2 linked regions of the Struthio camelus genome follow. Each later gene encodes a partner of the first gene's protein in a complex. Links are inferred from orthologs where the notes say so. Each region holds a gene or a part of one and is shown on either strand. Other genes may lie near its edges.

The links.
Region 2: MED1 (region 1) and MED20 share a complex: the UniProt entries of both Homo sapiens proteins name them as parts of the mediator complex. The link is inferred for Struthio camelus from reciprocal best matches to the Homo sapiens genes MED1 and MED20.

Annotation. Positions count from the first base shown.
Region 1 is NC_090966.1:6,513,013-6,522,074, reverse strand, and holds the start of MED1 (mediator of RNA polymerase II transcription subunit 1), read left to right. Parts: upstream 1-4,654; 5' UTR 4,655-4,729; coding exon 4,730-4,757; intron 4,758-6,492; coding exon 6,493-6,599; intron 6,600-7,429; coding exon 7,430-7,508; intron 7,509-7,971; coding exon 7,972-8,026; intron 8,027-8,153; coding exon 8,154-8,286; intron 8,287-9,062. Other genes in the region: CDK12 (cyclin-dependent kinase 12), read right to left, coding at 2,045-3,099. UniProt on the Homo sapiens protein: Component of the Mediator complex, a coactivator involved in the regulated transcription of nearly all RNA polymerase II-dependent genes.
Region 2 is NC_090965.1:6,381,814-6,391,218, forward strand, and holds the start of MED20 (mediator of RNA polymerase II transcription subunit 20), read right to left. Parts: upstream 4,211-9,405; 5' UTR 4,138-4,210; coding exon 4,124-4,137; intron 4,116-4,123; exon of another isoform or gene 4,026-4,115; intron 3,468-4,025; coding exon 3,313-3,467; intron 1,385-3,312; coding exon 1,131-1,384; intron 1-1,130. Other genes in the region: BYSL (bystin), read left to right, coding at 4,300-4,540, 4,625-4,799, 4,885-5,023, 5,528-5,661, 5,914-6,074, 6,631-6,733, 7,107-7,455. UniProt on the Homo sapiens protein: Component of the Mediator complex, a coactivator involved in the regulated transcription of nearly all RNA polymerase II-dependent genes.

The DNA.
Region 1 (9,062 bases):
TCTGTCCCTTTAACATAATCACCCAAGGCAGATGTTTTCTGAAGGCGTAATCCATGCTTTATGTTCTGCTCTAAAAAAAAACCATATCAATGTCAGTAAGCTATCTTTCAAAAAGGAGAAAAGAGTGACAGGTTATCAACAGAAGTCATAGATTCAAAGATTCTAGTGCAAGCAGAGTGTAAACAATAAGTAACCTCTGAAATCTATTTTGGTTTGGGTCTAGCTTTTTGTCAGTGAGTCAAAGATGCCTTGAGAAAGTTTCCTACATAGGTATGTAAGCTCAGGGAATCACAAACTGCTTCAGAGTTGCTCCCATAATTAAGATGGCGAAAAGATAACAGCTTGATTCCTCAAGTCAAAAACAACTGGCCGTTCACAGAAAGAGCGAGCTTCAGATTTGCTTGGGAAATAAGGCGACCGAGGGAAAGACCACCTTTTAGTATATCACTTCACTCCCCAAGCAGTTTCTCCCTGGTTACAGCCGAGCACGGAAACTTAGCAGATCCCATATACGCTATTACATCACATACCGTACATAAGTTTCTACCACTTTGTTCTTACTCTTGCACAAAGCATTACCAAATAACCTGTAAGAGCAGTGCTATTAAGGCAAAAAGAATTGAGGGGAGGGAAAAGAAAGCCATCAAAGACTCCCTCTCAACATCTCTCATGTATACGCACAGAAAACGGGGAGGGAGAAACAGGCCTGGACTCAGCTGGCTGAAGGAAAGGCAGGGTAACTTTCGCTTATTTCTACTTATTTGCTTATTCTACGATTTTACACAGCAGATTTTATATAACAGCTTCCAGGATACTAAACAATACACTGCTCATACAGTGAGGAGAAAGGCGATGTTTCAACCCCAGAACATAGCAGTCTCTGAAGTTAAGAGAGGAGCTCTAGTAATAAAGCCCAAATTCCAAAATCACCAAGTTCTCTGGGAACTATTGATGATGTAACTAAGTTCTGCAGGCAGACTCTTCTCTCACAGCTCCTATTTGGACCAAAGGATGCAGCACAGCCAACACAGTACAGAGCATTTCAATAGTTATTACGTTCCAGGTCAGATCTTAATTGCCATGGAGCTACAACCAAAGCTCCACAGCACACACAGTGAAAACTGGAAACTTGTTCAACCTAAGCTGAAGCTAGAAAAGAGAATCAGCATTAGACTACGTATTTGTGCACATAACAGGATGGTTAATAAACATCTGAAACAAAACACAGAGTTAGCACCACTTTCAAGTAATAGTTTCCTTCTGTAGCAAGATTTCTGACTAAGGAGAGAGTGGGGGGGGGGGGAAGAGAAAGAAAATTATAATTAAGCCAAGAATACAGCTGCTTCCTACTTGCCCTTCCAGAATGCCCTGATTTCAGAATATGGAAGCAAGTAACTCCATTACTGATAAAGTCTAGGCTAGAAAGATGCAGTTTAAACATGGTCATCTTTAATTCAAGGAAAGAAAGAAAAAAAATAAGTCAGTTTAGAAAGAGTAAAATATACTCAGAACAAAAGCCACCCTCCTGAAAAGCGTGAGCAAGTTTCCACATCCAGCAAAAAGCTAAAGGGTTCCAGAAATAAGTGAAAACATTCTTCCTAACTGAAATTCACACCACTGAAGTGCCTCAGGAGTTGAAAAGCTCTGTCTCCAGTGGACATGCAGCTCCCTGCTCCCCTTCGCTCCCTTCCGCAGGGGGCCACCTCTAGAGGTAAGTGTAATTTAATCCCAAGAGCTCATTCAGTCCTAGGCCTCTCTGCTGAGAGCCAACATGGACGCTGCTTAGTGCCAGTGAGGGAGGTGTTTTCTAAGGTGTGAACACCATTTTAAAGAGAATTGCAGCGAACCTCACCAAAGTCAGTCACTCTGCGGCCAAATAACGCAGCCACAGCACAGAGTGATCTGGGTCAGATCTAGATGACAAAGGGGGTTAATTTCCACATTCCCAGAGCCACCCCGACCACCCCTAGATACTTCCTCCTTCCCCATTCCACTTTTCCTTCCCCATCGCCCAGCCAACGAAGGCAACACAGAGGTCACGCACCTGGCTATCGGACTTCGGCTCACAGACCGCTTCGCAACAAAAGGGCTGCTCGAGCGCCTTCGGCCATACGGGCTGGGCGACCTCCCGCTGTACGACCCGCTTCCTCTCTCGTAGCTTGAGGAGCGCCTCCTGTTATAGGGACTTATAGACCTCTGTCTCCGGCTGTAAGGGCTGGGAGAGCGAGTGTTCGACTGGTAGGCCACAGGCTCCTTGTAGGGCGGGCTGATCGACTGCCTGCGTGATGAGCCGCCGGGGCTCTTCTTGTAAGAATCATAGTTACTGGATGTATGAGACCGGGGAGGGCTGATATCATACTCCTGGATGTAGGAGGCTCCTGAGGGGCTGTCATCCAATTTAGGGCTGTCAGACCATTTTCTGTGAGGACTTCTGGATTTCCGCTTCGGACTGTCAATTGTTTTATAACTTTTTGGAGCATCCCTTTTCCGGTGGCTTTTACTGCGCTCTTTGTGGCTGGACTTGAGTTCTCGATCCTTCCTGGATTTCTCCTTGTGCGCTTTGGCTGACCGAGACTCCTTGTTGCTACTCTTCGAAGACAGTGACTTGGGGTGCTCCTCGTTGTCATCGAGGAGTCTCTTGGAGGATCCTGATAGTCTGTCCTTGGTGGACCCTGACCTGCTAGATGCCTCCAGGCTCTTTTCTAACTTCCTCTCCTTCTCCGCCTGCTTGCTCTTCATCAGCTCACGAATGCGCTTGTGCTGGTGGTGCCGGTGCTTCTGTATCCTTTCGCTCCTGTCCGCTTTCCTTTCCTCGTTCTCCCTCCTGTCCAGCTTGAGGGCCACATCATCCGAGAAGGTATCCGAATCTGAACTGATGTCGTCGTACTCCACCAGCGGCTTGATCATTGCGCCCAAGGGTGCCGCAGTCTCTTGGGCTGCCAGCGGTGACTCCTTGGAGTGCCTGGACTTATGCCTCTTGTGCCTGGAGGCCAGCCGATGCCTCTCCTTGCTGTTCGAACTGCCGCTGCCAGGCGCGTGCTGCGAGGACCCCCCACCGCCCCCGTCCTTCTTGCCCCCATGTCTCTCCGGATTTGGCATTCCTCCTCCACTGTGCTTGAAAGAGGGGAGGGGGGGAATCCTCCAAAACCCCCAAACTTTAAACTCCCTCAGCACCCAGCTCCCTCCCCTCCCACCATTCAGAGCAGCGTCGCCCCCCGCCTCGGCCCTCCCTGCCGCCAACACCCCCCACCCCTTACATGGGGAGCGGGCCGGCGAGCTCGGCCCCGCGGCGGCAGAGGAGAAGGAGGAGGCGGAGGAGGAGGCGGAAGGGGGAACCGGCGGCGGAAGGGCACCGGCCTCACCGCCTCACCCGAGGGGCCCAGGCCCGGAGGGCAGCGCCGCCGCGGGGGCGCCCCGGGAAGGCGGGGCCTGGGCCCAAGATCCCTCCCTCCTTCCCCCTCCCGCCGCCTCAGCACCGGGCCCCGCCGCGCCGGCCCCTCGCCCCGCCGCCGAGGCGGAAGGCCGCCCCTCGCCGCCGCCGCCCCGCGCCGCCGCGTGCCCGGCCCGGCCCGGCTCGGCCCGCCGCGCCCCCCGCTCACTTCCCAAAGCGAAACGGCACCGCGTCCAAGGGGGGGGGGGGGGCGCCCGCCAAATCTCGCGAGAGCCCGCCGCCTCTCGCGAGAACGCCGCCGCCCTCCGCCCCGCCGCCGCTGCCGCCGATCCCGCGAGAGCTGCCGGAAGGGGCGGGGAGAGGGGGGGAGGGAAGGGAAGCGGGGCGCGTTCCTCCTCTCGCGAGAGTTCTGCCGATGACGCGCTCGCCGGCGTCGAATGAAACTTTATTGGGGCCCCGAGAGCGGACAACCCCCCTCCCCCCCCCCGGCCGCGCACTTTCAACAAAACTTTATAAGGGCGCGCGGGGCGGCCATGGCCGCCCCCTTTGCCTCAGGCGGCGGCCGCCCCGGGACACGGACCCGTTCTCGAAGCGCCGCGGCCCAGCCGCCCGCTGAGGGGGGAGGTGACCGGGCCTCAGCTCTGCCAGTGGCTCGGGGCCTGGGGGAGAAGTTTCACAGGGGGCTCAAAGTTCACGGAAACCCGCCCGAGCTCGGCTGGCGAACGCGGCGCTGCTCTGAGGCTCGCTCTGGGCTTTGCGCCTTCGCCCCTACGCGACCAGGCCGAACGCCGGGGGTTACGGCTCCGCCTCTCGGCAGCGCCGGCCGGGGGAAGATGCGGGCAAGGCGGCCGCCCCGCGGGCCCGGGGAGCCGGTGCACCGCCGCGGCCTGGCAGCGAGGCGGCCAGCTCCATCGTCCGGCAGGTAGAGCCTCACAGAGGGAGCCGTAAAGGCGGCTCGGCCGCGGCTGTGAGCGGGCTGCCGCTGGCCGCCGGGCCCTGCCGGGCTGCGGGAAGCCGGCGAACGCCGCCGCGCTGAAAGGGGAGGGCGGGGCTCCCGCGGGCCACGCCCCTTTCCCCCCTCCCGCTCTCGCGAGATCGCGGCGCGCGCGCCTCTTCCCTCCCCCTCCCCTGCTTTCCCGGCTCTCGCGAGAGGACGCGGCCGCCCTCTCGCGAGAGGGCGGGAGCGCCGCGCGCCGGCCCGCCCGCAGCGCAGCCGCGGCCGTTGGGATGGCGGCGGCCGCCGAGTGAGGCCGGCGCGGAGGGGCCCGGCCGCCGCCGCCCACCCGACGCGAGGCCGGTGCCGCGGCCCGCTCGGGGCCGCCCGTCCCCAGCCGCGCCATGAAGGCGGCGCCGGGCGGCGCTGAGGGTGAGTGCCGCCTGAGGGGCGCGGCCGAGGGCGCCGGGCCGGCCCTGTGAGGAGCCGCGGGGCCCGGCCGCCCGGCGAGGGGCTCCCGGTGTCTCCGCCCCGGGTTAGGCCGTAGGTGTCGTGTATCTCCCCCCCTCCCCCCCCCCGAGAGGTGGTACCGCGGCTGCGGCCCGCCGTGAGGGGCGAGGACCCCTCGGCCGGCGGCACCGCCCCGGGCTTTCCCCGCCGTAGTGCATGTAACGCACCCCTTGGGCCTCCCCGCGCCGGCTGCAGGGCTTGTTCCATTTTTGAAGGGTATAAGGGCAAACATCCAAGGGAAGCTCTGACTGCGCTGCACTCTGGCAAAAAAAATCCCCTTGTCCCTAGTGTAACTGAGAGGTATAAAGTGCCTGGAAACATCTGACAAACGTTTAGTTATGTTTTACACTGGGACTTGGTGGGGATCCCTGCTAATTCTGTGAACTGTACGCACGTCGATCATGAAAATGAGCTCTACAAAGTTTGCAGTGTTGCACAGCATGGCGGTTAGTAGCCTTTGTGTTTGCCTTGGACCCTGCAGTGCCAGTGAGAGATTTATTTTGGCAGTGATGTCCGTTGGGTTTTTCAAAGAATGCAACTGTAGAAAAAGCTGTCTCCTAGATAGCAAAAGAAATGTCAAATTATAACACTTTTGAAACTGTCTCTTTTTTTTTGTATGTGTTTTTTATTAGACATTGGGCAAAAATACACTATTCTAATTTGGATTTTTTTAGTTAATCTGCCTGATGATAGTTTTCTGCCCAGTCAGTGTCCCTGTCTCCCACCTCTCATCAGTTTATCTCATCAGGGAGATACTTTTCCTAACAGTGGAACTTTCTAAAATACAGGAAAACGAGCTTGTAAAACCATACCTAATAGAAGGAAGTTGGTGGGATATGACAAGCATTTTGTAAAGGTTGACTAGATTCCAGTCTGGTACTGAGCTGTGAACCACTCTTGAAGGCAGAGCAAAACAGGTCATCAATTGCTTTGTTAGATCACAGGATATAGAGCCGTACACTGGTTCCAGAACAGCACGAAGACACCAGTCCTTGGTCTCAGGCTAACAGAGGGTGGGTGAAAACGTGTCTGGTCAGAGAGTTTTCGACCCTCTGAAGCACTGGCAGTTGAATCAATTTAATTAAGGGTGTGAGAGATGAAGGGATCAGTGCAAATCTTTACAATGCAAGAAGTCGGAGGGTTAGAAGAGTATGAACAGTGAAGGTGAAGTCAGGAGATGAAAGCTTAACCTCTGTTCTTTAAAAGTTTGCTGATGCGATGTTTTCTACACTCTCTACTCCTTGTCCTCAAAAAGCTTCAGCACGTCTTTAAGCCATGCTGCTGTAAACCCAAACAGTGCTCTGACATATTACTGTCATACAGAACTTAGTCGTCTGGAACCGTTCATCTCATTCAGGGTCCATGCAGAATAGTAACTGGGCTTCTCCCAACGAGCCCTTAGACCTTTGATGATCATCTAGGTTTTAATAGTTATATCTATTAGTTATAATATTTTAATAGATACATCCTTAATGTCATATAACCTTGAAGTCTAGGTCCCAGTGATAAATCAGCAATAAGTAAGTTTTGTGAAATCATTTTTAGCTTGAAGATGGAAAGTGTTTTTGTTACAACTGCCTGCTTGTTGTATTTGTAAAACTTTAAATTTTATCTAGTTCTCTCTCTTCTGAATTTTCTCCTATGATTTGCCTTATAGAAGCAGAGAAGCTGAATAAGATGAGTTCGCTCTTAGAAAGACTTCATGCAAAGTTTAACCAAAACAGACCTTGGACAGAAACCATGAAGCTAGTCCGCCAAGTCATGGTGAGGATTGTTGGAATCTGAGCAGGAGAGTTTCAGGAGCATCTTTAGTAATGATTCTGTTGTTGGTTTGTTAGATCTCTTCAAAGCGCTTTGCTTTTTATCCAAGCCTCGACTTCCTGTTGGGCCACTGCGGTTGAGGCATGCCGGTTGTCTCGCCCAGCAGCGTGCAGGGGAGTGATGTGCATGTCCTGTCTGCCTGGAGTGCCTCTGCTTTCCCTGGTTGCAGCCTCCCGCTTTACAGCCTAATTGACAGGGGGCAGCTGTCAGTACAAATGCAGGAAGAGGGCCAAACTTAAGGTCTCTCACCACCGGTTCAAACCACAACTGTTCTGCCACTTGCTGTTTCGAGATGTTTTATTTTCTTAAGCAATTTACTCCTTTGTCCGTAGTGTTCAGAATTCAGTGTTGGCTTAGTTGAATGTGGTTTTGAAACATTAGTTTCTGGGTGGGGGAAGGTAGGAGCAGAAGGCAGGAGAGAGCTACATCAAAGGTTTCTGCATGTGTTGTTCTGAGATGTTAAAAGTTTGCCCGTCTAGGTATTTCTCTGTCTCCTCTTATATAACTCTCAGCTTATGCCTATTAAAAAGTTATTACAGTCTGTTCTTCCAGATGAGCGAGTTGCTTAAAGAACAAGTTGCCTGCCTTTGTTACCTGCTTTCAAAATGGATACTGTTGTTATTATAGGAATCGAAATGAGGATGTAATTTTGGGATGAAGTCTAATCTGCCTTTAATTACCTGAATAAAGCTTAGTTGACTGAGCAAAAATTGCAGTAATTCCCTCTCAGTGAGATATATATCAAAAGGTCATTTTTCTTCTCTCTGACTAAGGAAAAGCGAGTTGTGATGAACTCCGGGGGGCACCAACATCTGGTGAGCTGTTTGGAGACTTTGCAGAAGGCATTAAAAGGTTAGTACGTCTGTGCGTTCACTTTATGTACTGCTTAGCAATGGTACGCTGTGGAAATATTCCACGTCATAAAAGCAAGCAAGGTTCTTGCTAGCACGTATCTCTCTGCGTTCTTGGTGTATGTGTGCTCATGTTTACGTAAGCATGCTTACCTCTTATGGTTCAGTACCACTCAAGATTGCCTGTTATTTTTATTGTAAATACCCATACCTGAATTCCACTTGTCTGGAATGTGGAAGGAAATCCGTTCTCTCCTTGTATTCCTGAGGAGTGTTTGTTTTTCTCTTTAAAAATTGTTCTGCCTGAAGTTTGGGTGTTGATAATATGTATAGCTGCATGTGTGAAGGTATGAGAACACCTGGGAGTGGGTAAGTTGTTGAGATTGCTTTTAATGCTGCTGTCTCATTCCTGGAGGAATGTTGAATCATTTCACTAAGCCTTGCTTTTTGCTTTCTCCATCTAGTATCTTCTCTGCCTGCCATGACAGATCGTTTAGAGTCTATAGCTAGACAGAATGGGTAGGTTGTCTTCTTATTTTATGGCAAAGGCATTTCTTGTTTATCTGTACACATCGTAATCTCGCTGCTGGTTTGATTGTTTTTTGTGTGCATCTCATAGCAATTTTTGTTTTGTTTTGTATGTAAGCCTTGGATCTCACCTTAGTGCAAATGGCACTGAATGTTACATCACTTCAGACATGTTCTATGTGGAAGTCCAGTTAGATCCTACAGGGCTGCTGTGTGATGTCAAGGTGGCTCACCATGGAGAAAATCCTGTGGTATGTATTACTGAAAATGTGAGAGTGATACTTTTTTGTCTTTGGAACTGCTGTTTTGGTTCCCTTCTATATGAGCAGAGGAAATGGATTATACTGAACATTGGTCGAGGCCTAACAGTTTATTTTTACTGCTTGCTCTAGTGGAAATTAAAAACCTCCTTGGAGTAGTCTGTTCTTATGCTTTAATCTGATGATCAATGCAGTGCATGTGTGCAAGGACCATTTTGCTGAGGGGTCCCTCTTTTCTTCTGAGTGGCGTTATAAGTAGCAAAATTATTTAGGAAGTTACTTGTTTTTCTGGGAATTCCTTGAGAAAGGAGAGGGAAATTAATCTTATGAGGCTTAGCTCTGTGAATGGAAAACCCTAAAACCTGGAAGCATACAGCTAAGGTCCTGGAAGAAAATTGCTTTACTTCCCTCCCCCACATGTATGGGGGTTTGCACTTGCTTTTCACATTGACATAGCTGCTTTTCTGAAAATCAGGCCATTTTTATCACATCTGTATAAGATCAGAGGTTTTCAACCTAAGGCTTCACTATTTTAAAAATTTATTCCAAGTCATTCACTTAATAGGATATGATACTGTTTGGATTTCTCCCAGAGGAGGTTGTCAAGCAGAACTAGAACCATACCAGTGCATAGCTGTAAGCGTTGAGTTTCTTCTATCAAAAGCTGATGCTTAGAAATGTCACTGTCCTAATATTTTGCAGTCACGGTGCTGCCCAAAGGCTGAGATTACTACGTTTGACATTGATATAGTTCTATGTTCTTCCCT
Region 2 (9,405 bases), on another chromosome or scaffold:
AACTGAAGGGGAAAAAAGAAAAAACACATTTCTCAATCCCCATCACTGCTGGCTAGTAACACCTGCCTGAGTAGGTTCAGTGTGATTATTAATTACGTATCAGGTAATAGGATTTGTGTTTAGAAAGGCATAAGCTCAGCTCTTTGACCTTTAAGCATCTAATTCTCAGCTATCTTAAAGAGTGTTAGGCTTTAATGTATCTAGATATCTTGAGTCTGACCTACTCTGCCTTACCCTTCCCACAGCAGCACAGACCAGCTTCTTGTCTTATTCTGAGAGCCTTTTCAGCCCAGGTGAGGCTCGTCCATGGCTCGTAAGCCTTTGAGTTGCACATCCATTCAGCCAACTGTCTCCCCAAATGACTTCATAGCTCCTCCTGTGACCCTTCATCTGTACTGAAGGATCGCCCTGCAGCTGGCACGAAACAACTGGTGCTCTCAAGCCTAATCAACAGTCAGGCTGCTGAGCAGAAACAGCGGAAGCTGTTTGATGACAGGCTTTGTGCCCACACTGCACCCCACAGTGCAGCAATCCAGGTCAGCCATGGGGTAGGACTGACGCCTGCAACGCAAAGCTCTCTGAAGAGGAGACGCCATCTTTATGCCATGTGCGTGCAGAACCTAGGGCAGGAGGACCGTGCTCTCCACTGGGATGCCTAAGCCCAGCCATTTTCTGCTCAAGATGGGGAAAGAAAGCAAAACCCAAATCAGCATTAAATTATCAGCTAAAGAGATTGTTTTGTCCCCCTTGGTATGTTTAATAACCTGAAGCGTGCTACTAGTGTCGTGCGTCAGGACTTTAAGCAGCTTTTTAGTTTGATGGCATCCCTTCAGGGCTTTGTTTATTGACACTTCAATGACAGGCTCTTCCACAGCTGCAGCTGAGCCCCAGAGTATCTGCCTGAATTAAACCTTGCCTTGAAAAGGCAATAAATACTCCTTGCACATACACGAATACATCTAGTACAAACTAACAGCAACTAGTATACAAGTTCACATTTGAGAGGCTGGCCTGCAGGCCAAGCAGTCAATACATGGAAGGAAGAGGGGCTCAAGATTTCTAGTCTAGCATCTAATATGAGATTTCTCTATCTGTAGTTGTATTTTATATCAATCAAAGACAATCCTTACCTCCACAGATATCCCACGGGCACTGGGCCCCATTGTAACCGTGCCCACCTTCACCAAGAAGTCACAGTACTGGTAGCGGGTTCCCCGGCTCTCTATCTTGTTCGCCTTGGCATTTTGGAAGAAGCCTTTCAGCTTCACCATAAGGATATCAAAGTTGGCATCTGCTATGAGGCAGGGACCATTTTCAAAGAGAGCGAAACAGCTGAGGGGATATTCAGAGTTGTGCATCACATACATCAGCTTGCCTGTCTGCCCTGAAACAAGAGCAATGATATATGGGCTGCAGAAACAACAGTCCTGTGCTTGTATGTGCTTTTAAGAAAGAAACATCTCTTTGCTTTCCCTTTGTTTTCCTTGCTGCTTCAATTCTAGGATCCTTGTATTAGTCTCACACACTTTACGTTTTCTGAGTGTTCCGGAGATAGGTTATATTTCCCTCTTAGGGTTTAAAACTAAAGGAAAAAAAAATCTCATGCAGCCACTCCTTGCCCAGGGACAAGACGGCAGTGCAACTCAAGGGCCAGACTTGGATGTTAGATCTCCAGCAGGATGAGAGGGTCAGCAAAGAGCACCTGCTCCCCTCCCAGAACATGGGGCTGTCCTCTTCAGCCCTGCAGTAAAGGGAGAAAAGCTGGGTTTTGCCTCATCTCCCAGTCGCTGACCAGCCCCACAGAGCTAGCAAAGGAAGGAGGTGCCTGGGCACATTCTGGAAAACAGGACATCCAGAGAGGATGTGCCTAGCTTGTACAGTGATTCAGAAGTGGAAGAGGATTCTCATTTATCTGTGTTGGTTAAAAAAGCCTCTCAACAGATGTGATTGTGCAAGTTCCAGTTCCAGCTCCAGCAAAAAGCCCCTCTCATAGCTTCAAACCTGCAGACACATCCGCAAAACCCGACAGCAGGGCAGCTGAAGCAGCACCCCAGCTGCACCAATCTGCCTGGGAAGAGCGGTGAGGCTGGAAGGGCTCAGTGCTGACCTCTGCAGCCGCAGAAACACTGGAGGGATGTTCACACTGGTTTTTAAATGCTGTTAAAAGCCACATGCTTGGGAGGGAAAAGGAGGGGAGCACAGTCCCCCCAAGTGAGCAGATTAAGTCACGTCTTTCAGCTCTCCCGTTAGGCCCTGTGATGTCCAGAGGGAATGCCAGGTCCTCCAAGCACATCCCCCGGCCACGACTGGGTCATTTCACACCTCAGAAATTCCCCTAGAGCTGCTCACCACCGCCTGCCTGCCCTGGGGAGCCTGCTTTCTTCTCTGCTACCACCTCCTGCCCTCGATCGCTCACCCTCCTGGAGAAGAAGGGCAGAGCAGGTGACAGCAACAAGTTGCTCTCAGGAGACTCCTGTAACTTAGCTGCTGTGCAAAACGCAGCCTCCAAAACAAGTCACCAACAGTAACGCTTTAAGAAGCCTTAGGGAAAAAAACACTGCCAAACTGGCAGCTGGTTTTTGACCACTTATCTTATTTCACACGCACAAAAGAGAGATCCTACACAGCTGCTGATATTCCAGTTAAGAATCCTTAAGCGCTGACACAACACAGCTATCCTCAGTGCAGGAAAGGACAACCGTGGGGCATGTGTGTAACAGAGAAAACAGCATTAGTGAGACACAACAGGCTCCCAAGTGGAACGGCGCGTTTAGTCATTCAACATGTCTGTTCCAGGGCAGCCCACGGCACGCAGCACCCAGCCGCGGGGCCAGCGGAGCTGTCGGAATGACCTTCCCCGGCTCTCTGGGGACGATGCGCAGGGGCGCTATGTTTCCCAAAGCTATTCATCTGAGAGGGGAAGAGGTGAACTGCGGTATGAATCTTTCAAGGTAGAAAAAAGCTTTTACAAGCAGCCAGGCAACTGCCCGTTCCCCACAAGAGCTCAACACAATAAATAAAATGATGCTGACTTGTGGAAGAAACCTCAATTGCAGGGCAGAGCGGCGATCTCGCACGTAGCACGCGCTTGTTCCACAAGGGACCTCGCTGTTACTGCAGCCGGATTTCGCTACCAGCACGCTGGGCACGAGATGAAAGACCGAGAAACGCTCACGGGAGAAGAGAAGCCTCCGAGCTGGCACTGGATGAGAGCCTGCAACCACCTCCCTCCCTTTTACCGCGACCGGTCTCCGGGGGACCGCAGCTGCGGGGCATGCCCGGGGGTGGCGGCAGCGGGGGGCCGGCCCTGACCTTGGTTGCCCATGGTGGAGGCGGCGGTGTGGTAGGTCTCGCAGTCCACGCAAAACGTCCCCTGCTTCTCCGCCCCCAGCAGCTCCAGCTTCCTCGTCAGCATTTCGACCGTCTGCTGGACGCTCTTGCCCTCGGCCACGGGCACCTGCGCCACGCTGCGGGGGGAGGCGTCAGCGGCGCCTGCGAGCCCGGGGACCCGGCCTGGCCGCCACGGCCCCGAGCCAGGGGGTTAACGGCACCCGGGACGGGGGGAGGGCCACGGTGTCCCCCCGTGACAGCACCCACGCTGGGGGGGGGCCATCTGCCACAGCCTCCCCGTGACGGGGCCCATGGAAGGGGGGGGGACAGCTCCCGCTGCGGCCTCCCCGTGACGGGGCCCACGGAAGGGGGGGGGACACCCTCCGCTGCGGCCTCCCCGTGACGGGGCCCACGGAAGGGGGGGGACACCCTCCGCTGCGGCCTCCCCGTGACGGGGCCCACGGAAGGGGGGGGACACCCTCCGCTGCGGCCTCCCCGTGACGAGGCCCACGGAAGGGGGGGGACACCCTCCGCTGCGGCCTCCCCGTGACGGGGCCCACGGAAGGGGGGGGGACAGCTCCCGCTGCGGCCTCCCCGTGACGGGGCCCACGGGAGGAGGAAGGAACACCGCAACCCCCGCAACGAGAGCACCCACGGGGGAGGGAACATGCAGTTGCCCCCCGGCCAGCACCCACGGGGGAACCGTCCGCCGCAGCCCCCCGAGACGGCACCCACGGTGGAGGGGAGAGGGGGAACCGCCTCGCGCCCCCCTCCCCCCCCCCGCCATCCTTACCACGTGACGCCCATGGCGCGCGGCGGCGGCGGCCCCGGCAGCGCCGCTGCCGCGCGGGGGCCGCGGGCGGGGCGGAAGTGACGTGCGGGGCGTGAGGCGGCGTGTGACGTGGTGCCTGCGGCGCCGCGCGCGCCCTCCCGGCCCGGCCTCGCTCCCCCGCCGCCGCCGCCGCCATCATGCCGAAGGCCCCGGCCCGGGCAGGGCCCCGCGAGCGGGCGCCGCCGCTGGCCGAGCAGATCCTGCGGGCGGCGGCGCCGCGGCCCACGGCGCGCGTGAAGCGGCGCGGCGCGGCGGGTGGCGATGATGATGGCGGCTACGTGGACTCGCGGCTGTCGCGGCGGATCCTGGAGCAGGCGCGGCGGCAGCAGGAGGAGCTGGAGGCCGAGCACGGCCCCGGCGCGCCCGCCGCTGCCCTGGGTGAGCCCCGAGGCGGGGTCGGGGGGAGGCCGGGGGGGGGGGGTCCGGCCTTGCCCCGCGCTGACCCGGCCCCGTTTCACGCAGGCCCCGCGCCGCCCGGCCCGGACAGCGAGGAGGAGGAGGCGGCGGCGGAGGAGGAGGAGGAAGAGTGGCCCTCGCTGGAGCAGGCCGCGGCGGGGCGGTGGTGCCAGGAGGTGGCCGTGGACCCCGAGGACGAGAAGGCCATCGAGATGTTCATGAGCAGGAACCCGCCGCTGAGGTGGGCCGGGGGCCGGCGGGGCGCCGGGCCGGGGGCCGGGGACCGACGCTTGACTCACTCTCGCTTCCCTTCGTCCCGGCCCCAGGCGCACGCTGGCGGACATCATCATGGAGAAGATCACGGAGAAGCAGACGGAGGTGGAGACGGCGATGTCGGAGATAACGGGTTGCCCCATGCCTCAGCTCGACCCCCGCGTCCTGGAGGTCTACAGGGGCGTCCGAGAAGTAAGGCCGAGGCGGCTCCGCTCTGCGCGGGGGCCCGGCGGCGAGGCTGCCTCAGAGGCTGTTCTGCTACAGCCCGTAGCGCTCACCTGGCAGCGATCGCTGCCGAGCCCCCCTTTCCCTTCGCTGGTAGTAAGTACAGCGATCAGGACGTGTTCAAGGAGAGAAGCTCAGCTGGGGGTAAATTGGCATTTTCATGAGCAAAGTTGCTAATCTCCTTGCAGTGAGACACCCTGGGAAGCCCGAGAGAAACCCCACACCAGAAATGGGAGGGTGGTGTGATTAGTTAGCACGGCCCAGACAGTGCTTCCCTGGGTGTGCTCTTTCTCTTCAAAATAAATTAACTGCGATTTACATAGTGTCATTCACTGAAGACCCCAGAGTGTTTCTGAATGACTGAATCTCAAGGTCATGAAACAAATCCTGACGAATCCCCATGGTCCTGCTGTCAGTTCCACTATATCACTGCCAGGCTTGCATCCATTCCTTTTTTTGTTTTTTTTTAAGGTGCTGTCCAAATACAGGAGTGGCAAACTCCCCAAGGCATTTAAAATCATTCCTGCCTTATCCAACTGGGAGCAGATCCTGTACATCACAGAGCCAGAGACATGGACAGCAGCTGCCATGTACCAAGCAACCAGGTAGAATTGTGTCTGGGAATTACTGATTTTTTTTTTTTATTATTCGCTTCATCTTTCCACAAGCGAATACCAGATACGCAAAATGCCAGTCTGTGTCCTGCTTTCCTGTTCCTTTGCATGCCAAGGTGGAGGGAGTCATGGGGATCTCATAGCTGATGCCCTGGCTCAGGTACTGCCTGCAGTTACACACTCCCAGGACCTCTCTCCAGAGACAGACAGATCACAGCTTGCTTTGTGCTTCGCTCTTCCCAGGATATTTTCATCCAACCTGAAAGAAAGGATGGCCCAGAGGTTCTACAACCTGGTACTGCTGCCTCGGGTCAGGGATGACATCGCCGAGTACAAGCGTCTCAACTTTCACCTCTACATGGCTTTGAAGAAGGCTTTGTTCAAGCCAGGAGCCTGGTTCAAAGGTAGAGACTTCCCACAGGGTGATGGTTTGTACATAGGAGCCTTGCAGCCATACAGCAGCTGGGAAGCTCAGCAGGGGCATGTGTTGCACACTTGCCTTGTAACAGCACACCATGCTGTGTGTGGTGCGATGACTTCTGTCACGGCTGCAGCAGCCCAAGGGGTTGGTGGGAAGAAGGAGGGCAGAGAAGAAGCAAAAGAGATGTAGAGACCCCCTTGGGCCCATTTGCACCCTTCTGTGCTGAAGGGCAATGGGTACTGGCGGGTTACGCAGGTGCTGCCAGCAGATACTGGCAGATACTTGGTTTCTTTTGGAGGTCAGTAGCCCATTACAAATTATCCTAGGCCTGATCTGCATATTGTCTAGCAACCTGAGGATGTTTGGTGCTAGATGCATGGAGAAGAGGGTGGAAAGAGATATTGAAACTCCCATAACATAAACCAATGGAGGATCCTCTAATTCCTGGAGTCAGATGCATCCGGGGATAGGAGAAGGCAGCTCTGCCTGCTATGTTTAAGGACAGCAGTGTCTAACACTTTCCCCCCCGCCCCTGGCAGGGATCCTCATCCCCCTGTGCGAGTCGGGGACCTGCACGCTGCGGGAAGCCATCATCATCGGCAGCATCCTCACCAAGTGCTCTATCCCTGTCCTTCACTCCAGGTAACGTGGCAGTGGGGCCCTGCTGCCATGGGGTACTGGGAAGGATGGGCAGGGGGAACGGTTCTCCCTTTGTGATGCCGGAGCGATGCAATGGATCTGTCCCTAAGCCTCTCTGGCCTCTCGGAGACAGAGAAGGTTTCACCCAGCTCTGCCTTGTCTGTGCAGGGCTGAGGTTCAAGGCTTCCTGCAGTGCTGGGGCTGTCATCCGTGTGTCTGGGACCCACTGGGGCAGGGCTCAAGGGACAAGCTAACCTGGGAGAAAGGGAGCCTTCAGCTGTCCACGTCACGGGTGCCCCGTAGCTCTTGCTTGGCCTGCAGGTGCTGAGGCCCTGCCACACCTGCCCTCACCTTGGTGCTCCCTCCGTCCCCACAGCGCAGCCATGCTGAAGATTGCTGAGATGCAGTACAGCGGTGCCAACAGCATCTTCCTCCGCTTGCTCATTGACAAGAAGTATGCACTGCCCTTCCGCGTGGTGGATGCGCTTGTCTTCCACTTCCTGGCCTTCCGCACAGACCAGCGGGTCCTCCCTGTCCTGTGGCACCAGAGCTTCCTGGCCTTCGCCCAGCGCTACAAGGAGGACCTGTCCTCGGAGCAGAAAGAGGCCTTGCTCGAGCTGCTCAAATTCCACTGCCACCCACAGATCTCGCCAGAGATCCGGAGGGAGCTGGTGAACTCCAAGACACGGGATGTGGAAGGGCAGCAGCCTGTGGCCATGGAGTGAGCAGGAAGAGGTGGGGAGGCAGGGATCTGCTCTGAGAGCTTGCCAACTGCCTGAGGACGCTGGTGGATGCAGCTTGGAGCTCGGCTCGGAACGAAGCCATTGGGAGGTGCATGTGAGCTTCTGTCCCTGGGATCCTGCTGCTCCAAGCCGGGTGCTAGGAGCAGGCTGTGTCCAGTGACCCAGACTGTGCTCTTTGCGCTGCTTGTTGTGGGACAAGGCAGTCCCCTGTCCCACCCTGCGAGTCCGGTGCCCAGCAGTACCCAGGTGAGAGGAGGGTTTGGCCTGTTCCCATTTTGGAGAATAAAGCCCAAGCTGTGTCTATCGGTCCAGGGGCGATTCTGCCCCACGGTCAGACCTCTCTTTCAGCTGCGCCCATGGTGTGGCGCTGCCTTGTCCTAGTGTTGCTGTGTCCTATCTGCCTTGGACTGTCCCCAGCAGGTGGCAGAGCAAAGCCACGAGCTGGAGGCTTCGTGCAGAGCTGCGTGCCAGAGCTGCAGGTGCTGTCCCAGCTGCGAAGGGAGAAAAGGGCCCCTGTGCATCCCCGCTCCCCTCCCTGTGCCCCTGCTGCCCAGGGGACTCCTGCCTACACTGTGCCCCGAGAACCCGGTGGGCGAGGGAAGGGAGAGTGGCTCCCTCTTCAAGGGAAGCAGGGTGAGAAAGGGCTGGGACCTGCTAGCAGAAATGCAGAGGTGCAGGGAGTTGTGAGGGGGGTTCCCCAGGCTGCTGCTTGAGCAGGGGGAGAGGGTCAGCACTGAGCAGGGCAGGGACAGGCCACGCGTGTTTTGTTGGCTGTAAGAGAGGTGCACGTTGTGTGAGGTGGTGATGTCTCAACTGTTGTCAAAGCTGCTCTAAGGGGTTTAAAAAAAAAAAAAAAAGGGCTCCTTCTAGTGCTTGAGGGTTTCCTTACCCTATTACCAGGGTAAGGGTACCAGGGTTTTCTTACCAGCTATTACCAGGCAAGTGAGGTGTAGAGCTGCCTTTGTCATGTCCACTGTTAGGCTGCACTACAGCCCTGAGCTGCGACAGCGTGGGCACGGGGCACATGGTCCGGGCAGTGGCGAGTGCAAGAGCAGCACAGCAGTACTGAAAGCAACAGGGAAAGCCCCATGGTGGCCAGCACAGAGGGAAAAGCCTCCAGCTGGCAGAGAGCAATGAGCTATGCTTCTTAGGGTGCCTGGGAGCAGGCTGGGGCACAGGGCAGCCTTGACTCCCCCCCAGTTCCTTTACTGCTCCCTGCAGTGGGTCCCTTGCTGGCTGCTCCTGGGCCTGGGCCACCCTCCTTCCCCTTGCTGCACCTATTGCAGACTTGTCCCTGCGACTTGGCTCCCCAGCCACTGACCTCCCTCTCCCCACCACCGTCCCTCCTCCAAAATGCCCGCCAGCCCCTTTTGCTAGTGAAGGAGCTGGGTTTTTTTTTTTGAAACATACTGGGTTTGCTCCTCAGCAAGGTTTGTAAAGCTCCAGCCTCCAGGGCCGCTTTCCTCGGCTGCCCAGTGAGGCTGCGTACCTGCCCTCATTGCAGCAGCCTGCCCACACACGTTTCATATCCACTGGAAAACCCAGCTGCATTTTTCCTCCTCTTGGCCTGTGAGGTTCTGCACTTACCTGGGGACTTGCTAAGGGCTCCAGGTGATGCTGTGACAGTACAAGGCCCACATGCTTGCGCATAACTGGCCTTGCCCCTGAAACCAGCACAAAGTCCTGCTGAGAAGACCCAGGTAGAAAAGCCCCTGCAGCTCCCTGTTGCAGCAGTACCTTGCCTGTGCTGAAAAATGGCCTCTCAGCTTTGCTTCTCCCAAGAGCTGGCACCTTCTTCCTTGACAACCGAGCTACAGCAGGAGCAGAAGCCACGTGAAAGAAAGCAGCATACAAAGCCCAGCTGCTGTGGGCTGCTTGCACACCACAGTGCACCGTGCCTTTTCCCCAGCTTCCTGATTTTATCTCCTTTAA